4 linked regions of the Callithrix jacchus genome follow. The protein of the gene in region 1 interacts with the protein of each later gene in a pairwise test. Links are inferred from orthologs where the notes say so. Each region holds a gene or a part of one and is shown in the gene's direction. Other genes may lie near its edges.

Region 1 (4,646 bases):
ATTTCAGGAGCACGTAGGCTCTTGCAGGCCAGAGTTGTGTAAAACCTGACACATGTTTTGATCATTCTCTGCCCTGCCTCAGTGGGTGACTAACCGTTAGGTCATAAGTAAACTCAGCCAAAAGGTCTCTCAAATACAGCTTACAGTCAAGAGCGGTGGCTTTCAGAAAGAAACTTACGCGAAGGGGTCATGTTTCCAGACACCTAGTTCTAAGCACCTGAAGGAGGTCAAATGTTGCCCGACACCTACTGGCCTTCCAGAATCATCTGCAGCAAAAACGCCACGCTGAGCGCCCGTAGTCTGGAGGCACCTCCCAGTCCTCCAGGTGCCACACCTGTTGGCAATGTTAGCCCAGCCGACGAAGATTCCTTCGCGTGGAGGTCACACCTGGCGGCGGGACAGGCGGAGGGGCGGGCGGGGTGGTGGGAGTCGCGGACCGCACTAAAACACAGAGTCCAGACTCAAGTTCTTCATCGATTCCCGAGAGCTGCCATTTGATGCTCCGGTGGCTTTCTCTGTCTCTTACACTGGTTACCTCATTTCCGATTAAATTAATGATCCCAAATTAGCTGCGAGAGGAGTGCGCGGGTCTCCTTTCCAGGCTAGAGCGGAGTAAGTAGCTCCAGATCGAAGCCGATTTCCGGACCTGCGGAGAGAGCGAGGGCACGGCCGGGCGTTCTCAGGCAGCGAAGGTGAGGGCGCCTGTGCAGTCGGGGGGCCCGGGAAACTTTGCGGAGTTGCACGCAGAGGCAATCCCCGAGGCCCCCGGGCCTGGGTTCCCGAACGCCGCAGCGACGCCGGTTTGCGGGTTAAATAACGTGCAGCTGATGATCGGAGGGAGCCCTTTTAGACGCGGCTCGGGGCGCCGGGGACCCAGGGCACGTTGGGATTAGAACCCGCCGACCTCCCCTCCCCCCTGGGGTGTTTCATTGGCTGCCAGCTGAAGCCTGACACCCCTTGGGGGAGTCCCCCAGGTTGCCTGAGCAGCGCCCCGCGGTCGCTCGGTCCCCTCCAACTAGGTGCAGGGACCCAGGGAGGCGCTCGAGGACCGACCGGTCACCGCTCCAATTACCTCATCGCGCAGCTCCCCGCCCCCTTCCCAAACCTGGAAGGAACCTTGCCCTCCACCCCGCTCCTCCCCTCCCCCGCGGCCCGTCCCGAGCCACTCTTGGGGAAAGGTGCCCGCCTCCCCGGGCCGCGCGCCGCGAAGGGTTAAGGGCGCGGGCCAGCCGCCGCGCGGTGCGCTCAGGGCTCGGTGCTGCTCGCCGGGCCGCCCGCCAGAGGGTGCCCCCCACCCCCATGAAGTCGGATCCTTGAGCTGCGGCGGCGGCAGCCAACTGCTCCATATTTGGCTTCTATTACACATTTACATACTGGAGCGAGCGAGCGAGCGAGCGAGCGCGAGAGAGCGCGAGGGAGGGAGGGCGGAGGGAGGAGGGAGGGGAGGGAAGCGGGAGGAGGGGGAGGAGGAGGAGGAGGAGGAGGAGGAGGAGGAGAGAGCAGAGTATACCGCAGACATCATTTCTACTACAGTGGCGGAGCCGTACAGGACCTGTTTCACTGCAGGGGGATCCAAAACAAGCCCCGGGGAGCAGCAGCCAGAGCAAGAGCAGCCGCCAGACATTGTTTCTCTCCCTCTGCCCCCCTTCCCCACGCAACCCCAGATCCATTTACACTTTACAGTAAGTGGCTATTTTTTTTCCTCCTCTGATTCTTTTCCCCCCTCCCCCATCCCCTTCTCCCCTTATTTAGATTAAAATCCCTCCTCTCCCTATCTCCCGAGAGGGGCAAAAGCAACAACCAGCAAACAAACCCTAAAACCCCAATCGGCTGCACGGAAAACAGCTGGAAGAGGAGCGAAGGGAATCGACGCGTCGTGTTGTGTGTGTGTGTGCGTGCGTGTGTGTGTACATACAACCGTCCCCGGTTCCAGGCTCCCAGGCCGACACCCCCACTCTGGGCGCAGGGGCGGCCGTTCGGGGGGGCTGTCAGGGGCCGGGTGGGCGCCCGCCGGGCTAGGGGGCGCGCCCGGGCGGGGGGCGCGGGCAGGGAGAGCGGCGGCGGCGCCCCGCTCTGGAGACTGCTGGTCCGGTCGCGAGTGCCGAGAGCCATGTCCTCCTCCCTCCGGGTGGCGCAGGGGGAGGCGGCGGCGGCCGGGGTGGGGGGCTGGTCCCTTTCCCGGCCGCCCTCTTCCCATTCCTCCTCTCCGGAGAGGGCGGTGAGAGAGGGGGGGTCTCGGGGAGGGCTGCACTTCCCCGCGGGTGGACGCCCGGCCTCGGCGCCCCTGGGCGAGGGTCTTCCCTCCGTGGCCGGCCTCGCCGGCTGTACGGCTGTGGGCTGGGAAGGGACTGCTCCAGCCAAGGGGCCGGGACTTTGCGCTCGGCCGGGTGCCAGGCGGGGGGCGCGGAGGGGTGGCCTCGGGGACCCCGCGGGGGTAGCGGGTGTGCGGGTGCCTGGAGCGCGGCTGGAGTGGCGGTGGCGGCCCTGGCTGCCGCCGCCACCGCCGCCCTGTTGGTGCGGCCGCTTCCTGATCCTGTGCAGCGGCCGCCGCCGCCCGGAGCCGCGAGCCCGCGAGCGCCCCAGTCCGGGCCGGCGCCCCTGCCAGCGCCCGCGGCAGGAACCGAGGAGCCGCGGCAGGCGCTGCCCGGAGCCGGGAGTGAACGGCTGCGCGGCTGCTGGGAGGGTGAATGAAGCCAGGAGGAGGGGAAGGAGGAGGAGGCGGCGGCGGAGGAGGAGGAGGAGGCGCTGCGGGGATTGGGATGCGCCCTGGAGCCCCGCTGCTCGTTCACTCTGGGCCGGGCCGAAGACTCTGCCACTCCCGGGGCCGGGGCCGCCGCCGCCGCCGCCTCCTACGTGGTTCCAGCGCTGCGCTCAGGCCGGTCCCGCAGGGGGCAGGGAAGGGGGCCGGACGGGCGGAGCGAGAGGTGAGGCGGTGTCGGAGCGCGGCGTGTGAGTGAGTGTGTGAGTGAGTGTGAATGTGTATATGTGTGTGTGCGTGCGCGCCGGGCGGGGGGCGAGGGCTGTCGTGATGCGGAGGGGGCCCCTCCTCGGCCACTTGGCTGACTCTGCATCGCCCGACCCCTTCTCAGCCCCCCGCCTTCAGGCTGCCTTCTTGAACTCCGAGGCTGTGCTTTCATTTTATTTCAAACCACGTAGGGGGCTGACTGGAAGCGGTGAAACAATTCAGGTTTTCTAGGGAGATTGAGCAAGAACCTTAGCGGGGGGTGGAAGTAGGGTGGTGATCCAGACTCTGCCAGAAAACAAAACAAAACAAAAAGATCAGTTTCTAAGGACGGCAGGGGTTCGGTTCGAGCCGGTGGCTGGTCTGTTTTGTTTTGCTTTCTTGGTATTATCCTACAGATAAAAAGGTAATGTAAATACTTGAGAAGATTGGGAAATTGCTGAAGAGTAGTAAGGGCAAAAAAAAAAAAAAAAAAAAAAAAAAAAAAAAGCCAGTCGGAAGAAGCTGGTTATATAATGCGCGATGTGGCTAACAAGAAAGGCAAGCTATTTTTATTTTGTTTACCGTATGCTGTGCAGTAGGGACTCCTCCAAACTGGTTCTGTCCCCGAAGAGATTCTGAGCTTCCCTGTGAGATCCACAGGATACAATTAGCAAAATTAGAAGACCCTATTACACCCACAGAATAAAAACTGGTGCCTTACAGTGGCTTTCTGCCTGCACATTCGTGCATGCACAGGAATGTGTGTATGCAAATAAGTTCTCCTTTGGCAATCTAGTAGTGCACATCTCAATGACATTTGCGTTTTATAATGCAGGCTGTTTTTAATATTTAAACATTGTCGTTATATATTGCACACAGCAGTGGGTAGTTACTTGGTGGTTATTTTTAGGCATAGCTACTTTTTCAACAGTGTTAGCTAAGACATTTCCGTTTGGGTTTTTTAGGAGGCTGCAGTTCCTAGAAGCCCCCGTTAAGCCCACCCTTCGGTTTATTTGGTGGGTAAAGGTAGTTTGATACTTAGGCTTTTTTTTTTTTTTTGGAATGAAGCTTATGCCTGAGGAAACCACCAGAGAGAAGAGAAAATCCTGCACAGGAACTCTTGGAAAGGGATTGCACCATAACGGCTAATGCTGTGGCACTTAATCTCCTCTGATTGCCCTCTCGCTGTGCATGCATCAGTCAATATTTTAGCAGCTCTGCAAATAAATGGACTTGAATGCCATCTTCTACATAAAGCAGAGGTTGAAGGGCTCCCTTGAACCTCCTGGCTGGCTGTCAGTGGTGTAGGTTTTCAGTGCACTTACTCCAGCCCTGATCACTCATGTAATTAGATCAGGCTGCCATGGCAACAGACAGTGTTCCTCGTCCATTCAGGTGGGTTTGTCTTGTGCCTGAACTACTCCAAATGTTTTATGCACAGCATTTATGCTGCCCAAGCTAGACGAAAGACTCCACTATTTCAATTGCATCTTCTTTCAGTCATTTGGATGGGAGACACTGAAGGAGGCTTCTAGCTACTCAACTTTTATAAAGGAGACCAACAAGCTGTTCTTCCTAGGTGCAGTATGTAAATGCGTCTCCCCATACAGTGAAAGGAGCCTGACAATCCTGCTGGTGTTTATTGTGAGCAGATCAACAAGTATTTGGTACTTGTTAGAAACCTTTCAGAGCTTACTAAAGC
Region 2 (4,677 bases), on another chromosome or scaffold:
ACAAAAATTTTGACCATAGCTAGACTAATATTGTAAATGCAAACACTCAATCCTTTCTAAGCATTTCTTTGAATATGTAATCATTTGGAATAAAATTTTGCAATGCTTTGTTCTTTCTTGTGCTTTGTCACTTGATACCTTCATAAGCCATGCCATTTTCCCCTCTTATCAAGTAGGTTTTACTCTTCCCATCTATATATTTATGCCAATAATTTAACCTTAGTGGCTTAAGTATTTCTTACAAAATTGAAGAAACTTACACTTTCCCAAGAGTGGCTTCCACATCAGCAATCTTCCTTTCTCTCCGCCTTTTCCTCTGAGAATTGTTTCACAAGGTCTAACATCCTCCTCTGTAGCATAGCAAACCTACCCAAACTTTGCCCCAGCAGGAAATACTATATTTGAAATTAAATGTGGAGAAAGGCAAGAAACCCATGGGGACTTAACTCCCAACTACACAAATGCAGTTGCACCAATAAGGCCATTTTCTATTTTTCAAATAGATACTCAGCTCTGCAAGGCTGATTTCCTTTGCAAATAGTTAACACTTTTTTTTTGACAGCCTTATTTTTAAGAAACATGTTAGCCCTTCTCTTGTTCTTCAGAGATAACTCAAAATAATATCATTTGATCTTTTTATTTGGTTTTATTTCTACAGCTTCCCTGTCCTTTTTAAGTCAGAGCTACAAAATTCATTTGAGTTCCAGAGACAAATCAGATTTGTCCATTGCTATTACTTAATAAGCCAAAGTAATTGAACATTTAACAAGAGTTTGCCCAAAGGTTGATTGAGATTATGTGCCAGACACCTTCTATATTATCAGTGTATAAACAGCAAATAACTTTTTAGTATATATTCATGTCCAGTGCAATATTTGGGACACACACTAAAAAAAATTAATTGGAAATCAAATTTAACTATATATCCTGTATTTTTTTTTTAATTTGCCAAATCTCACAATTCAGGTGACCATTTATCTACCAAACAAAATCAATAACTTGTTCGTATAATGTGGCCTCAAGTGGGTTTTGGCACAGAAGCACTCCTCTTAGAGCACAGGTGTGGTACTGGTTGCAAAGTTTTGACGTGACATCAACACTATACAAAAGTAAATGTAACTGCAAATTTTGAAATTTACAGATGGGTCTTTGAAGTCCAGCTCAAAAGAGTGGAGGAATAAGTTAAAATAAGTCACAGACCTGCCGGTTTGGGGTTTCCAGAAAGAAAAGTAACTTGGGGAGTTGAAGGCTTGGAGACCTTTCCAAAGAGAGTGGGAAGTTAACAAAAGGCTTCTTAGCAAGTTAGAAGTAGAGCGCCTGAGAACCTGAGCGAGCCAATAAGCAGGGACTGGCTGGGCTCCCGACGGGAGTAGCCAATCAGGGTAGAGATGGGTGAGGCTAGGCTGAGGGAAGGGGCGGACTACAGCAGAGTTGGCTCCAAAGTGCGGGACTCAGCCAATCGGAACCGGGCGGGGGTGGGGCTGGACTGCGGAAGGGGGCGGGTTCGGAGGAGTGAACTGTGCAGTTAGTGCGTCTTTCAGCCTCACCTGTAGCTGCCCCTCCCTGCACCTTCACCTTTGCTTTTCTCCCTGCACAGACAGCGTCGCTGACTCGGAGTGTGACGCTCGCTGCTCGTCATGGCCTACCCGGGATACGGAGGAGAGGTGAGTCCCAGCCGCTTGGTCGTGTCTCTCTCCCTCGCGGGATGTGGCGTCCCCGGAGGCGGTGCCAGCGTGCGGGTCCGCCCGTGGCTCCTGCTCGCGGCGTCCGTGCCTGGTATTCAGCAATGCCCGTACTCAGGGGATGTTGGGAACCAGGGTCGGGGCGAGCGTTGACCCTGGGATGACTTGGAGCTCAGGCGTTCTTGAGGTCCCTCGAGGAGCATCCTGGTGGAGCCGAGGGAGTAACGTGTGTTTGGAAATTTATTTCCTGGAATGTAGGAACAAGCCGCCCTCTTTTTGTTCCAGTAATAATCGGTGGTACATCAGTCCCCCGCCCCCCACTCAATGTTGCTAGAGATCCTCTTTCTGAATTTCTTAACCACTTCTTGTTCTTTAAGTTCCTTATGAATAAATTAAGGTGTATGGTAAATGACTCCTAGTCTTTACTGTTATTCGAATGGCAATCTGTTTAGACTTTCTCCCTCGACCCCAGGCGGGGGCACGTTGCTCTTTCTTACAACTTTTATTCTACATCACCTTTGGGAGTTGCAAGTTGTAATCCTAGTGTCCTGGTAGCTACCCCCTTATTTTCAGAAAGGAACTCAAACCGTTAGTATTGATGTCCGTTGTCTCCAAAATGCGGTGAGCCAGCTATGTTAACAAAGTTAACATTAGTTTGATCCACTGCGGTGTGGGTAGAATATATTTTCTATTTTTATTATATTTGTTTTTTAACCTGAAAACAGAAATTGTGTTTACTGATTTTAACATAGGACTTGACTTTGGGCTATGGTTGTGGTCTTCAAAAGAGTTACTCCTACCCTTGGGAGTTCATGGTTTTTGTTGTTGTTTTAGGGTATGAATTTCCAGGTCCTTAACTTTCACACATATTCGTTCCTTAAATTGATTTGCTTGAAACTCAGACTTACCTCAATTCCCTCTGGCACCTTCCACTTTGTAACGCCTACCCCTCCTCATTCCTTAAATTTAGTAAGGAAGTTTAAAGTGCCTAAGGAATGTAAAGCCTCCTTCAAAGATTAGTCAAGATAGCATAAACCTGTAGGGCTTTAAAAATGTCCCTATAGTTATTTTCATTTGGTTGAAGCTATCTGTTAGAAGTGTGATATATTTACATTTGTTGGTATGCTCTGAATTCATATATATATGATAAAGTGATGTGGCAAGAGTAATATATTTTCATTCAAATAATTTGCTGCTTCCTTATTCAACTTTTGTCGGAGTTCCTGAACTTGATGGAGAGTTCCACGACATAATTAAAAAAAAATCTGTATGTGTTTTGAGCATTTAAATTCCCTTTTCCATGTATTTGAAATAAACAGATATTTTTGGCTGTTATGCTCATATTAATAGTTGGAAAGAGAAGCAATATAGATTAGAGGCACTGATTTTTTAAAAAAGTAATTGAAATATTTTAAGATACATTGGATAAAATTTTGGGATAAAACACAATTTCTTTAATAGGAGTATATTAATAAGAGAGTTGAGACTTTTATAAATCATGTTAAATAAAGGCAACCTATACCTTATTAATGTTTCTTATATTCTTTTAACAAAATGTAAATTGTTAACTACTGGACCTAATTGTTTTGATGGTATACTTTTATCTAATTAAGTGCATGATTCATCTCTGTAGGCATTTCCAATAGATATTTACTTTCTTCTTTTAAGTATTGTTTATCAAAATTGCATTTTTTTTACTAATTGTATACTATTAAAAATTATAACTCAATTATAAAGGACTTTTTTTCTTTTTCATTTCTTATTTTGGTCATAGGAAATGAAACGAAATCTAAAACTTTGTTACATGTTTTTATTGTACATGTTGTATTATACAGGCTTCAGAGTTTTCAATAATAAAAGCACAATTTAAGCACAAAAACTTACATAGATTAGATTTTCACACAAGAAATAAAAAAAATTAATTCAAAAAGTAAAAGAAAACATAAAACTTGTACATTTTATATAATAGCCTCTTTAGGTCTGTTTGAAAATGGAAGGAGCAAGTACCAGACTATCAAAGTGTGTAGATGACACTGTGTGTGTGTGTGTGTGTGTATACTCTATTATAGTGTGTATTACTATATATGATACTGTGTATGTGTATTGTACTATTTTACACTATTATATATACACTATTATACATATATACACATATATACACTATTATATATATGCTTATATATACACTATTATGTAGTAATACATACTGTTTATATTTATACACTATTATATAGTAATATACACACTAAGTTGCTTATGAATAATATATTAAGCAATACGTTAAGTACTATATAGTAATACACACTAATAGTCTGTATATACATATTATGTATAATACATACTATAGTATACACACTATAAAATACACAATATTATATATAGTAATATACACTATAATAGTGTGCATATATATACAGATAAAAGTGTGTACTTTCCAAAGAGTGATGTAAAATTTTGTAAATGTCAAGATTTACAATATGTTGCTCATCGTATTCTTTACAACTATTTAAACTTAAAAACTTTATATGTCAATTTAAAATATGGGAAAAGGGTATATAGTTTTTCAAAAATCTTTTAAGGGGAGGGAAGCAAAATGTTTAAAGAAACTGCCGTGGTTCTGATAGTATCCTGAGGGATGAGATAGAGTTTTGTATGCTGGCCTCTCACTTGTTTCTTTTCAGCTTATTGTGATTTATTCCAGTTTATATACGTGGGATTCTCTGAAGTTATAGATTATGTGATCTACTTTTAACTAAAGCCCTCACAAAATATCAATAGTAAGGATTCAAAAGCATGCAAAACAACATGAAAGGCTTGGACATGAAAATATTGTCTAAGCCTTTCTTTAATCACATTACCTATTAGTAATATAGTGATCAATTTTGACTAATTTGAAACTATTAAGAGGACAGCTTGAAATAAGAATTTATGTAAACCATGTTTAGGGATGAACGTTGTTGGCCAGGGCCCCAGTTCTCCTCCATATGGGCCTTTT
Region 3 (4,794 bases), on another chromosome or scaffold:
CGAGGAGAGAAGTCAGATCTGCTGGTCAGAGCCAGAAGGGGCAGAAGGAAAGGGGGACCTGGGAAAATGGGTCCCAGATAATCAACATACATTAGAAGAAGCATCTTGGCCAGTGTGGTGGCTCACACCTGTAATCCCAGCACTTTGGGAGGCTGAAGCAGGAGGATCACTTAAGCCTAGGGGTTTAAGACCAGCCTGGGCAACATAAACTCCATCTCTACAAAAAATTTAAAAATTAGCCGGGTGAAGTGGCATGTGCCTGTGGTCCCAGTTGTTTGGGAGAGTTGAGCCCAGGAGGTCCAGGCTGAAGTGAGCTGTGATCAGGCCACTGCACTACAGCCTGGGCAATAGAGCAAGACCCTGTCAAAAAAAAAAAAAAAAAGGAAAAAGAGAAGGAGGAGGAGAAGAAGAAATATCTTGACTGGGCACAGTGGCTCACGCTTGTAATCCCAACAAGCTGGGAGGCCAAAGTGGGAGGATCGCTTGAGCCCACGAGTTGGAGATCATCCTGTGTAACATAGCAAGACTCCATCTCTACCAAAAAATTTTAAAAATTAGCCAGGCATGGTGGTGTATGACTGTGGTCCCAGCAATTAGAGAGGCTGAGGTAGGAGGATCGCTTGAGCCCAGGAGCCTGAGACTGCAGTGAGTTATGATCACACCACTCCAGCCTGGGTGAAAGAGTGAGACCCTGTTTCTAAATAAAAAGTAAAAAATAAATAGAAGGTTATTGTCAGACCAGGTGGAGGGAGGGGCACCTTGGAGGGTGAGGACCTCTTCCCCCACCTCTCGGTATTATCCCCTGATCTAACTCCAGCTGTGGTAGGATCTTCAGGAGGGGAGCGTGTTGTAGTGAAGTTTGGGGACTTTGGGTGTGAGGACTGAGGCCCCATCTCTGCTGAAGTTCAGACACCAAGCCCGGAAAGGGGTAGAATCATCCTGCTTTCCATCACAAGGAGGAATTGTCTGGCCTGACTTTGACGCATACACCATAGTCCAGGTGTGTGTATATTTGGAGAGAGTCTTTTCAGGGCATAGAGGCATCCAATTTTTTTAATGGCACAGATGGGTCCCCATTCTTCCTTCACCAACCTCTGACATCTTTCGATCTTCGCTCTCCAGGAAGTCCTAACTTCGATCTCACTCTCAGCTATCTTGCTGCAGCCCCAACCTATTTCTGTTCACTGCAACCCATCCAGACGCTACTATGATCTCCCCAAGCTTCCCTCAATCTGGTCACGCCCCCCGCATCCCGGGTTTTTCAGTGTGAAACTCCCTCCTTCGCTTCTTTCACCGCCAAGCCCCGCCCCATCGTGTCGAGCCCCCCAAGATTCAGCCTAGCTCGCCCTCCTGGCCACAGCGGCAGCCAATAGCTGAGAGCCCGATTTGCATGGCGGCGAGGGGGAGCGGCGGAGGGCAGGGGGCGGGACCAGGCGACCTCCTAAATCAAAGTTGGGCAGCGAGGACTGGGCGGAGGGGCCACCGGGTGCCGGGCTGGGGCCGGCGGGGGAGGGGAGGGAATGGGGGGCGGGCGCAGAGGACGGCGGAACCGGCCGGACACGGACAGCTCCGTGGCTCCCTCCCTCGGCTCATCCCCGCGGTCCCACTTTCCTCCTCCCTGCGCTCCGAGCAGCATCCTCTGCAGACCCTCGGTCCTCTCGCCCGGGGTGGTCCCGCTCCCGCGGCTCGGCGTGGTCGCCTCCCCTCGCCCGCCACCCCGGCAACTTTCTCCGCCCGCGCCCGCGGGTGGGGGGCTGCCGTGCCGGAGGCCAACTGGGGGCAGCCTCTGGAGAAGGGCTTCAGAGTCCCGGAGACGCCCGCCACCCGCAGCCTGCCCGCGGCCGGCCTGCCGTCGGGTCTCCGCACCTTCTCCGACCCTCCTCCCGAACCATGACCGAGATGAGCGAGAAGGAGAACGAACCGGATGACGCGGCCACCCACAGCCCCCCAGGGACCGTCTCCGCCCTCCAGGAAACCAAGGTAACTTGGGGGGCGCGAGGCCTGTCCCCGCCCCGTGTGTCCCTGGCCCAGGCGCCCTCTTCCCGGCGGGGTCCTCCTGTGGGCCCGGTCGTCCTGGGGTCGCGGTCGCGGGGCCCGCGTGACCACTGAGGCTCCGCGCCACGCTCGGGGGGAGGAGTGGATTGGCGACGAGGGGCCACGAGGAGCCCCAGATCACACCAGCACCGCACGGCCGCGCGCGCCATCGCTACCCTCCGGGGAGGCGGCAACCGGGCTTCGTTGGAGGGATGGGCGCAGGGAGGCCGGAGGGCGCGTGTGGAGCGGCGCGGGCGGGGTGCGTGCCCGGCTGTGCGAGCGAGGCGCACCCTCCCACGGCCGCCGGGTCCCCGTGCCGGGCTCAGTCTGCCCCTCTGCCCTCGCTCGTGTCTCTGAATGTGTCTCTACAACCTGCGTGTCTGTGTCTTGGCGTCTCTCTGTGTGCGTCTCTCCGCGTCTCTCCCCGCGTCTCTGGGTGTTTATCTCCGCGTCTCTGGGTGTCTCTCCCTGCCCCTCCGCAGTCCTGCATTCCCCGCTCCCAGCGGGGTTGGGCTCGGGGACGCGAGGCCGCGGCCGGGGGTGCGCAGCTGCGGAGTCCGCGCGGGGGCCTGCGGCAGCGCGGGCCGTCGGTAGCGGGCGGGGACCCGGGCCTGCGGTTGTGGCTCCAGACCAGAAAGGCAGCCCCACCCCCTACCCCGGGAGCGGGACCAAGCGGTGGGGCGCCGGGGGAGCGGGTAGAAGCGAAAAGAGAAGTCATCGTAATTAATGAATGTCATCATTAACCCTAATTATGGATGATTGTTACTCCTGCGGGAGTCACCATGAATAAATTACTCCCCGCGAAGGCGGGCGGAGCCCAGACTCCTGGCCCTGAACGGGGTGTGGAGAGACCGCCGCTCACACTCAGCACCCCCCTCTTCTAATCCGTCTGCTCCGTTCCCAAGTTCTAGGTTCTGGCGACTGGCCCGCGAGAAGTTTTGTTCTGCGGGAGCAACCTGAGCGGGCCGGGGGATGGGGCGGAAAGGGCTGTGCCAAGGGTGCGCCCTGCCCCCTCCCAGACTTCAGGCCAAGACCTCCTCCCTCTCTCTTCCCCTGGTATTTTGTTCCCATCCTGTTCCTGTTTTCCAGTGGCGAAGGGGGACAGTGAGGACCAGAAATGGTGGGCCTGGGTTCCGGAGGAATCGCTGGCTCCCTAGGCTTCTTCCTACTGTTCCCCTTCCTCCTCCTTCCATCTTGACCACCCCATAGGAGTTGAGGTTAATTCAAGGTCAAGGTCATCAAGGGAGTGACCCTGAGGAGGATCGTGTTTACCCTGTTCCTACGGAGGAGGAGGACATAGGATCAGGGTGGAGTCTGGCAGAGGTACCCCAGGGATATTCTATTGCTTAGAATATTTGTGACAACTTCTGTCAAGCAGACGGTCTGGGAGCTGAACCTCCCCTAAGCTCCAATGCCGCTGACCCCGGTTGCCCTCTAGTCACCCTGGGTAGACATACACAGTCCCCCTGCTTGCCTCCAGGGGCTTGGGGCCTCCCAGGCTCTGCCCGGCTTTCCATACAAAGGCCTGTTCACTCCAGCCCCCTCCCTGGGAGCTCTGGAAGGCGGGCAGGAGCGCGGGGTGGTGCTGCCTCAGCACTCCAGCAGGCTGCCTGCTCAGCTGTGTGTTGGGGAAGGTGAGGGCCTGCAGGTCTGTGCCTCTCCCTCCTCCCAGCCCAGGGACCCTCCAGTGTTGTCACCTCTGGGTCTGAGCTTGGAGATTCAAGGGGTGGGGAGGGCAGAGATTACATACATGAGCCAGCATCACTGATGAGCACTGGCCCCCTCTGTTGTACCTGCCTCACACTGAGCTGGGTGGGCAGCACCCAACCACACTCTCTTCCATCTCCCCACCCACACAGTCTGGAGACAGGAGCTTCTTTGAGCCAGGGTGAGGCCTAGCCCTCTGTGCTAGGTCAGCTGAAGCCCTGGCCCTCCGGCCCTCTCCTACACTTCACTCTTTTGAAGGACTCTGCACTAACACAGACTAGGCTGTGGGTTGGGTTGGGGGTATTCAGCAGGGCAGAGGTGGCAGAGAGAGAATCCAGGACCCCTGCTAGCCTCCTTCCATCCCACACTTCACCCTGGCTCAAAGAATCTCCTGTCTCCAGACTGTGTAGGTGGGGGAGATGGAAGAGAGTGTGTTTGGGTGCTGCCCACCCAGCTCAGTGTGAGGCAGGTACAACAGAGGGGGCCAGTGCACATCAGGTAGTGACGCCAACATTCCAGGCTTATTTATCAGTGTTGGTGCCCCCTGGGAATCACTGGCTGCCTCCTGCTTGCCCCCAGGCAGGATCAGCCCTGCATCTGAGCCACTCAGCAACCCTCCTAGGGAGTCCTCCTCCTCTCTTGGTCTCCATCCCTTCTTACCACATAGGGCCTGCCCATCACCCCCTTTGTTGCCACCCTTGGAAGGACCCCCTCGTGCCAGCTCTGCTCTGAGTCAGCTTGCGCCACATCCACCACCACCCACTGCCAGATGCCTCGTGCCCTTTCAGGAGATGCTGTGGGGATTGAGGAAATAAGGGGCCGCCCAGGATATGGGGAGGTAGGGGGGAAACAGGCCAGGCCCTGTCTCTAGGATGGGGTTCAGAAGAACAGACTTGGTGGTCCAGGCTCCCAGCTGGACAAACTGGGTGCACTGGGAGGAAGAGTGACCAGGAGGGCCCACTTGCCAGGGTACACCGCAGCTTCTCTCCATGCCAGAGAATGGGTCCCAGGGAAGTGAGGGCACCAAAAATATAGTGGGGGGAAGAGATGGGA
Region 4 (4,790 bases), on another chromosome or scaffold:
AAGAGAAGCTCAAAATCTTCCTCTTTTGCTCCTGCTCTCAGTTTTTCAGCAGAAATAAAGACAAAGTTAATTTTTAAGATGTATACTAGAAAGTGGAAGCCAAAAGCAAAAATTATGTAAATAAATTATATTATGGAGAGCATGCTATTTTTAATGTAATTCAAATCTAGCCATAGATCTGCTTTCTGGGAACCTAGATATCAACTTATTTTCTAAGCCTAGACTGCTATGGATGCCGAGTGAACCCCTCACAGCCTCCAGCCTGCATATCTGCTCTGTGCTTGCATGTCTGAGAAGCATCCTCTCTCTATAGCTGCCCTGCTGGGTTCAGGCAGCTTTCAGCTGCCTTTCTCACATCTTCTGGTTTCTTGGAGAACGAAAGTGTTTCTCTATTACCCTAGAATTTAACTATTGGATTTAGGCTTTCCTTTTCATGTCTTACAGATTAACGACCTTTGTCTTTTCTGTACATCTGTGAGACAAACAGATTGTCCAAACTTAGGAAGCATTTCACTAGATAAATGTCAAGTCTCAGTTTCCCCTACTTAAATGGCAATCTTTACACTCATACTTTCTAGAGCCTCTTAATTTCAATCATTCTGATTCCTTGTCTCAATAAGTATATACCTACTTGTCTAACCATGTGTCCCCATTTTGTTTAATGCAATCACCGTGCCTGTGTTTTTGATGAGTATCCTACCCTATTTTCAAAGATGAACCAAATGCCACAAACGAAAAGCTATTTTGGGGGAAGATGATCTCAGATCTGCTCCGCCATAAGGCAAGCAGAGGATTAGACCATCCTTCAAGGCTCCAAGCTCCCAACCTCTGCCTCTTCCTCTGGACTTGCCCTTAATTTCTGTTTTTCACTGAGAGAACACTCTGAGCACTCATTTGTCGGGCAGAGATAATTGACACACTCTGAGCTCAGTGAATGTTCAAGCATGCCCTGCCTCAGGTTACCCACTGCCCTCCCTGCCCCAAGCACCCTCTGGGCCCCCTCCTGGGGAAGTGATCTTGTGCAATTCTAGTCATTTCAGTTTTACAACATCAAAGTACCTCAACCATATAGTAACAATAACACACATATATTAAGAGGAGGGTGAGGAGGGTTGGGCCTGGCGTGGTGATTTACGCCTGTAATCCCCGCACTATGGGAGGCTGAGGCAGGCAGATCACGAGGTCAGGAGACCAAGACCATCCTGGCCAACACAGTGAAGCCCCTGTCTTTACAAAACATATAAAAATTAGCCAGGTGTGGTGGTGCCCGCCTGTAGTCTCAGCTACTTGGGAGGCTGAGGCAGGAGAATTGCTTGAACCCAGGATGCGGAGGTTGCAGTGAACTGAGATCACACCACTGCACTCCAGCCTGGCGACAGCAAGACTCCAAGACTCCATCACAAGAAAAAAAGAAAAAAAAAAAAAAAGAGGAGGATTGATCATGCACAAATGCTCTTACAGGAAAACAGACAGCTCTCTCCCTGGTAAGAAAAATATGGGTCTCCACCCCACCCCACACCAGACACACAAAAATCCCAGGATGCCCCAGAATGCAGTTTCTTTCCTTCGTGACGTCTTGTGCAGCACGTCAGCTGCTCCTTGTTGCTGTGCAGATACCCAACATTGGGTCACCGAGAGAGACGGCAGTGCTTGCTCACACAGCTGATAGGATTAGGAGATGGTGCTTTGTCAGCCCTGATTGAGCCCAAGGAAGCCCCCAGCAAACACAGGTGAGATGCGAGGAAGAGTGGATGTGAGGGACCGTGGTGTGTCTTGGTTGTTTGCTGCAGGCGTTTTCTTTTCGGCAGTGCATTTGTATTGTCTTCTCTGTGAAGTTTGCAGTCTGGGGGATTCCTATTAATAAAAATCTGTGCTTTTTCACTTATCTGGTCTCAGAGATTGGCCACATGTACCTCACAGGATTTTCGTGAGGCTCAAATAAGATTATATATGTGAAAGAGTTCTGAAAATATAAAGTTGTGTGCACAGGAAAGGGAGGAGTGACTTAATTACAAACTTCACATAAACAGTCAATAACTTACCCCAAATTTGGGGGAATAATTATATAAAGACATTATCTTTCTTCCCAGTCTACAGTACCCTATCTCTCCTGTGCCTTGCCGGGCTTGGACAGGTATTGTTTATAATCTTTAAAGGTTTAATTCTAAAGTAAGTAATATTTTCTAACAGCCAGAAATACATTAATTTTTAAAGAAGCTACAAGATGATAAGATCATAAAATAAGTCTTTAAGTAGAAAATGAAAATGCACAAGAATGTTTTGAAGCAGAGGAAAGAAGACCATATTATGCTGTATTACATTATATCTCTTTGATGGCATAATCCAAATGTTACATTTCTTCTAATGACATAAGAAACACTTGAATGAAATTAAGACAGCATAGATATTATCATTGGTAAAACTTGCCTTTTAGAACAGTGGAAAAACAGGCTTGGGTTCCAAAAGTACAGCGCTAAGAAGCATCTGAACACTAAATCATCAGCCTTTCCCTCTGCGAGGTTGCTATGGCGACAGCAAGGTTACTGCACAGCCTCTCAGTGCTTGCACTTCTGCAGTAAAAGCTGTCACTGAACACATGTTGGATTTTTTAGGCATACACCCAATTATCAGATACAAATACATTGTGGAGGCAGCTTTATTTGAATCATTTTCAAAGCAAATTGTATCTGCGTTCTTTATCCTGCACTGATGGACCCCTTATGGTGTTATGGAATTCACAGGTTCATGCATTAACTCATTTGACAGCTACGTATTGAGTGTCTACCATATAAGAGGAATTGTACTAGGCACTGCCTACAAGCTTCGGTGAAAACAAACAAGTAAATGGGGAATTCTGAGGAGATCACAACAGCTCTCCTGGGGGTAAAAGTAAGTGTCCTGGAATCATCAGGGGAGGTTTCCTGGAAGAAGCTGTCTAAAATGAAACTTAATGTATCTTTAAGAGTTGAGGAGGACAGGGGGATATAGTGCAAGAAATGTTCCAGACAGAGGAAATAGCAGGTGCAGCAGTCGAGGAAAAAGAGAATGCAAAACCTCCTCCTCTGAGAAATGCAAATGCTACAGTTGGAGCAGTATCCATTTGTATGCAGGGGAAGAGTGGTAGGGGCCAAAGAGGCAGGTTAGGAAGGGAAGAGAGTATCTATAAAAAGAGAGAAGTGGCAAGAAACAAGACTGGAGAGATAAACAAGGTGGCCAGATCAGGAAAGCCTTGTGTGCCACATTAAAGAGTTTCAATATTACCTGGAAGACAATCAGGAAACCACTAATGAGTTTTCATGGGGAAGCATGACTTGATTTAGCTTTTCATAAAGGTTTGTGGAAAAATGGAAACACTGGATAGAAAGGAATAAGAGGCAAGACTGAAAGCAAGAGACCTTGAGTTAGACCACTATTGCAATAAGGGTGGCTGTGGTTTAGACTCTACATGAAGATAATGGAGATAAATAGTGGACAGAAGGAATTAGATTCAAGACGGTCATTACTTGGGTAGCATGGAAATCACTTGGTGTTTATGCTATGTGTGGGTCAGGTGAGTAAGAGAAAGACACTTGGCTAGCTCAGTGAGGGTGTCTCTGCTATTAGGTCCCCAGTCTCAATTCTCAGTTCCAAGTAGGGAACTCAGAGGAATCTATTGACTTTCCAACTTGTTCTTATCTCACAGTATATGATCCCAGACTCAAAATTCCTGGACCTGCACTTTCCTGAGGTCCATATTTGAGACAGCCATGGGTGTTGAAAGCATGAATTAATCACCTCTTCTTTCCAAATAAAGAATCCTAAAATTATCAACCTCACTGCTTGAGACAGCTAAGTAGATTGAAAAGGCATGAAGATTTATGGAGGATGATCTCTTTTGGAGTTGAAGAAAGAAGGGAAATTGATTCCACTAATCCTCTGGCTTCAGGCTCTCTCTAGACTCACAACATACATTCTTAGACTTGAGAGTTGAGGACTCAGAGAAAAGCTGTTTAGAGGATGGATAAAAGGGGACAGTAACCCTCGATTTTCAAGAAGCACAGTCCTCCCATATAGGACGCCGGTGCATAAGGATCAGAGTATTGGCCTGCCACATTGATGCTTGAAATATTCCCCAATTCTGAATAAAGGGTGTATAAGTCATTATACATGTTGAATTCCATCACCAGATAAGATTTAAGGGTAGCAAGTGTAATAAATCAAGGCTCTTGGCCAGAGATGTACCCTATTCTAAGTCTGCTGTTGGACAGATTTTCAACCTTTCTTCAACAAATCTGTGTGCATCACAAATGCTTTTTATGCCTGTCATGTAAAAGGCATCGGCAAATATTGACCGGATCACCTGGACCAACTTAGCCGCCCTTTGGAAAATTCTGCTCTATCGGCTGTTTTGTTTTCCTCATCTAACCGTCACAGCTATCCTAGAGGTAGGTATCACTATTATCATCCCTCAATTTCACAAGGGTAAACTTGCAGTTCAGAAGAGTCAAGAACCGTAGGCGTAGGCCAGGCAGGCAAAGCCACCTGCATGTAATTCCGGCACTTTGAGAGGCCTAAACAGGAGGATCCCTTGATCCCAGGAGTTAGAGACTGCGGTGAGCCCTGATGACACCATTGTACTACAGCCTGGGCCACAGAGTCGGACCCGTCTCAACAACAACAACGAAAAACAAAAACCATCAAAAAACAACAAAAGCACAAAAAATATATAAAAATAAAGAAATAAATAAAATGAAAAACTTTAGGCATCTAGTCACTGAGGCTAAAGGGACTGATGGAGTGCTGGCTTGAAC

Evidence for each region. The genes of interacting proteins can lie anywhere in the genome.
Region 2: the proteins of ATXN1 (region 1) and GCA interact in binary tests that used the Homo sapiens proteins (3 or more experiments, as listed by UniProt). The link is inferred for Callithrix jacchus from reciprocal best matches to the Homo sapiens genes ATXN1 and GCA.
Region 3: the proteins of ATXN1 (region 1) and STAC2 interact in binary tests that used the Homo sapiens proteins (3 or more experiments, as listed by UniProt). The link is inferred for Callithrix jacchus from reciprocal best matches to the Homo sapiens genes ATXN1 and STAC2.
Region 4: the proteins of ATXN1 (region 1) and SYBU interact in binary tests that used the Homo sapiens proteins (3 or more experiments, as listed by UniProt). The link is inferred for Callithrix jacchus from reciprocal best matches to the Homo sapiens genes ATXN1 and SYBU.

Annotation. Positions count from the first base shown.
Region 1 is NC_133505.1:13,913,537-13,918,182, forward strand, and holds the start of ATXN1 (ataxin-1), read left to right. Parts: upstream 1-1,501; 5' UTR 1,502-1,682; intron 1,683-2,110; coding exon of another isoform or gene 2,111-2,924; intron 2,925-4,646. Other genes in the region: uncharacterized protein LOC128931873, read left to right, coding at 2,111-2,924. UniProt on the Homo sapiens protein: Chromatin-binding factor that repress Notch signaling in the absence of Notch intracellular domain by acting as a CBF1 corepressor. Binds to the HEY promoter and might assist, along with NCOR2, RBPJ-mediated repression. Binds RNA in vitro.
Region 2 is NC_133507.1:67,350,014-67,354,690, reverse strand, and holds the start of GCA (grancalcin), read left to right. Parts: upstream 1-1,488; 5' UTR 1,489-1,637; coding exon 1,638-1,664; intron 1,665-4,677. UniProt on the Homo sapiens protein: Calcium-binding protein that may play a role in the adhesion of neutrophils to fibronectin. May play a role in the formation of focal adhesions.
Region 3 is NC_133506.1:119,710,126-119,714,919, reverse strand, and holds the start of STAC2 (SH3 and cysteine-rich domain-containing protein 2), read left to right. Parts: upstream 1-1,605; 5' UTR 1,606-1,890; coding exon 1,891-1,980; intron 1,981-4,794. UniProt on the Homo sapiens protein: Plays a redundant role in promoting the expression of calcium channel CACNA1S at the cell membrane, and thereby contributes to increased channel activity. Slows down the inactivation rate of the calcium channel CACNA1C.
Region 4 is NC_133517.1:87,409,934-87,414,723, forward strand, and holds the start of SYBU (syntabulin), read left to right. Parts: upstream 1-1,601; 5' UTR 1,602-1,730; intron 1,731-2,741; 5' UTR 2,742-2,844; coding exon 2,845-2,889; intron 2,890-4,313; coding exon 4,314-4,424; intron 4,425-4,790. UniProt on the Homo sapiens protein: Part of a kinesin motor-adapter complex that is critical for the anterograde axonal transport of active zone components and contributes to activity-dependent presynaptic assembly during neuronal development.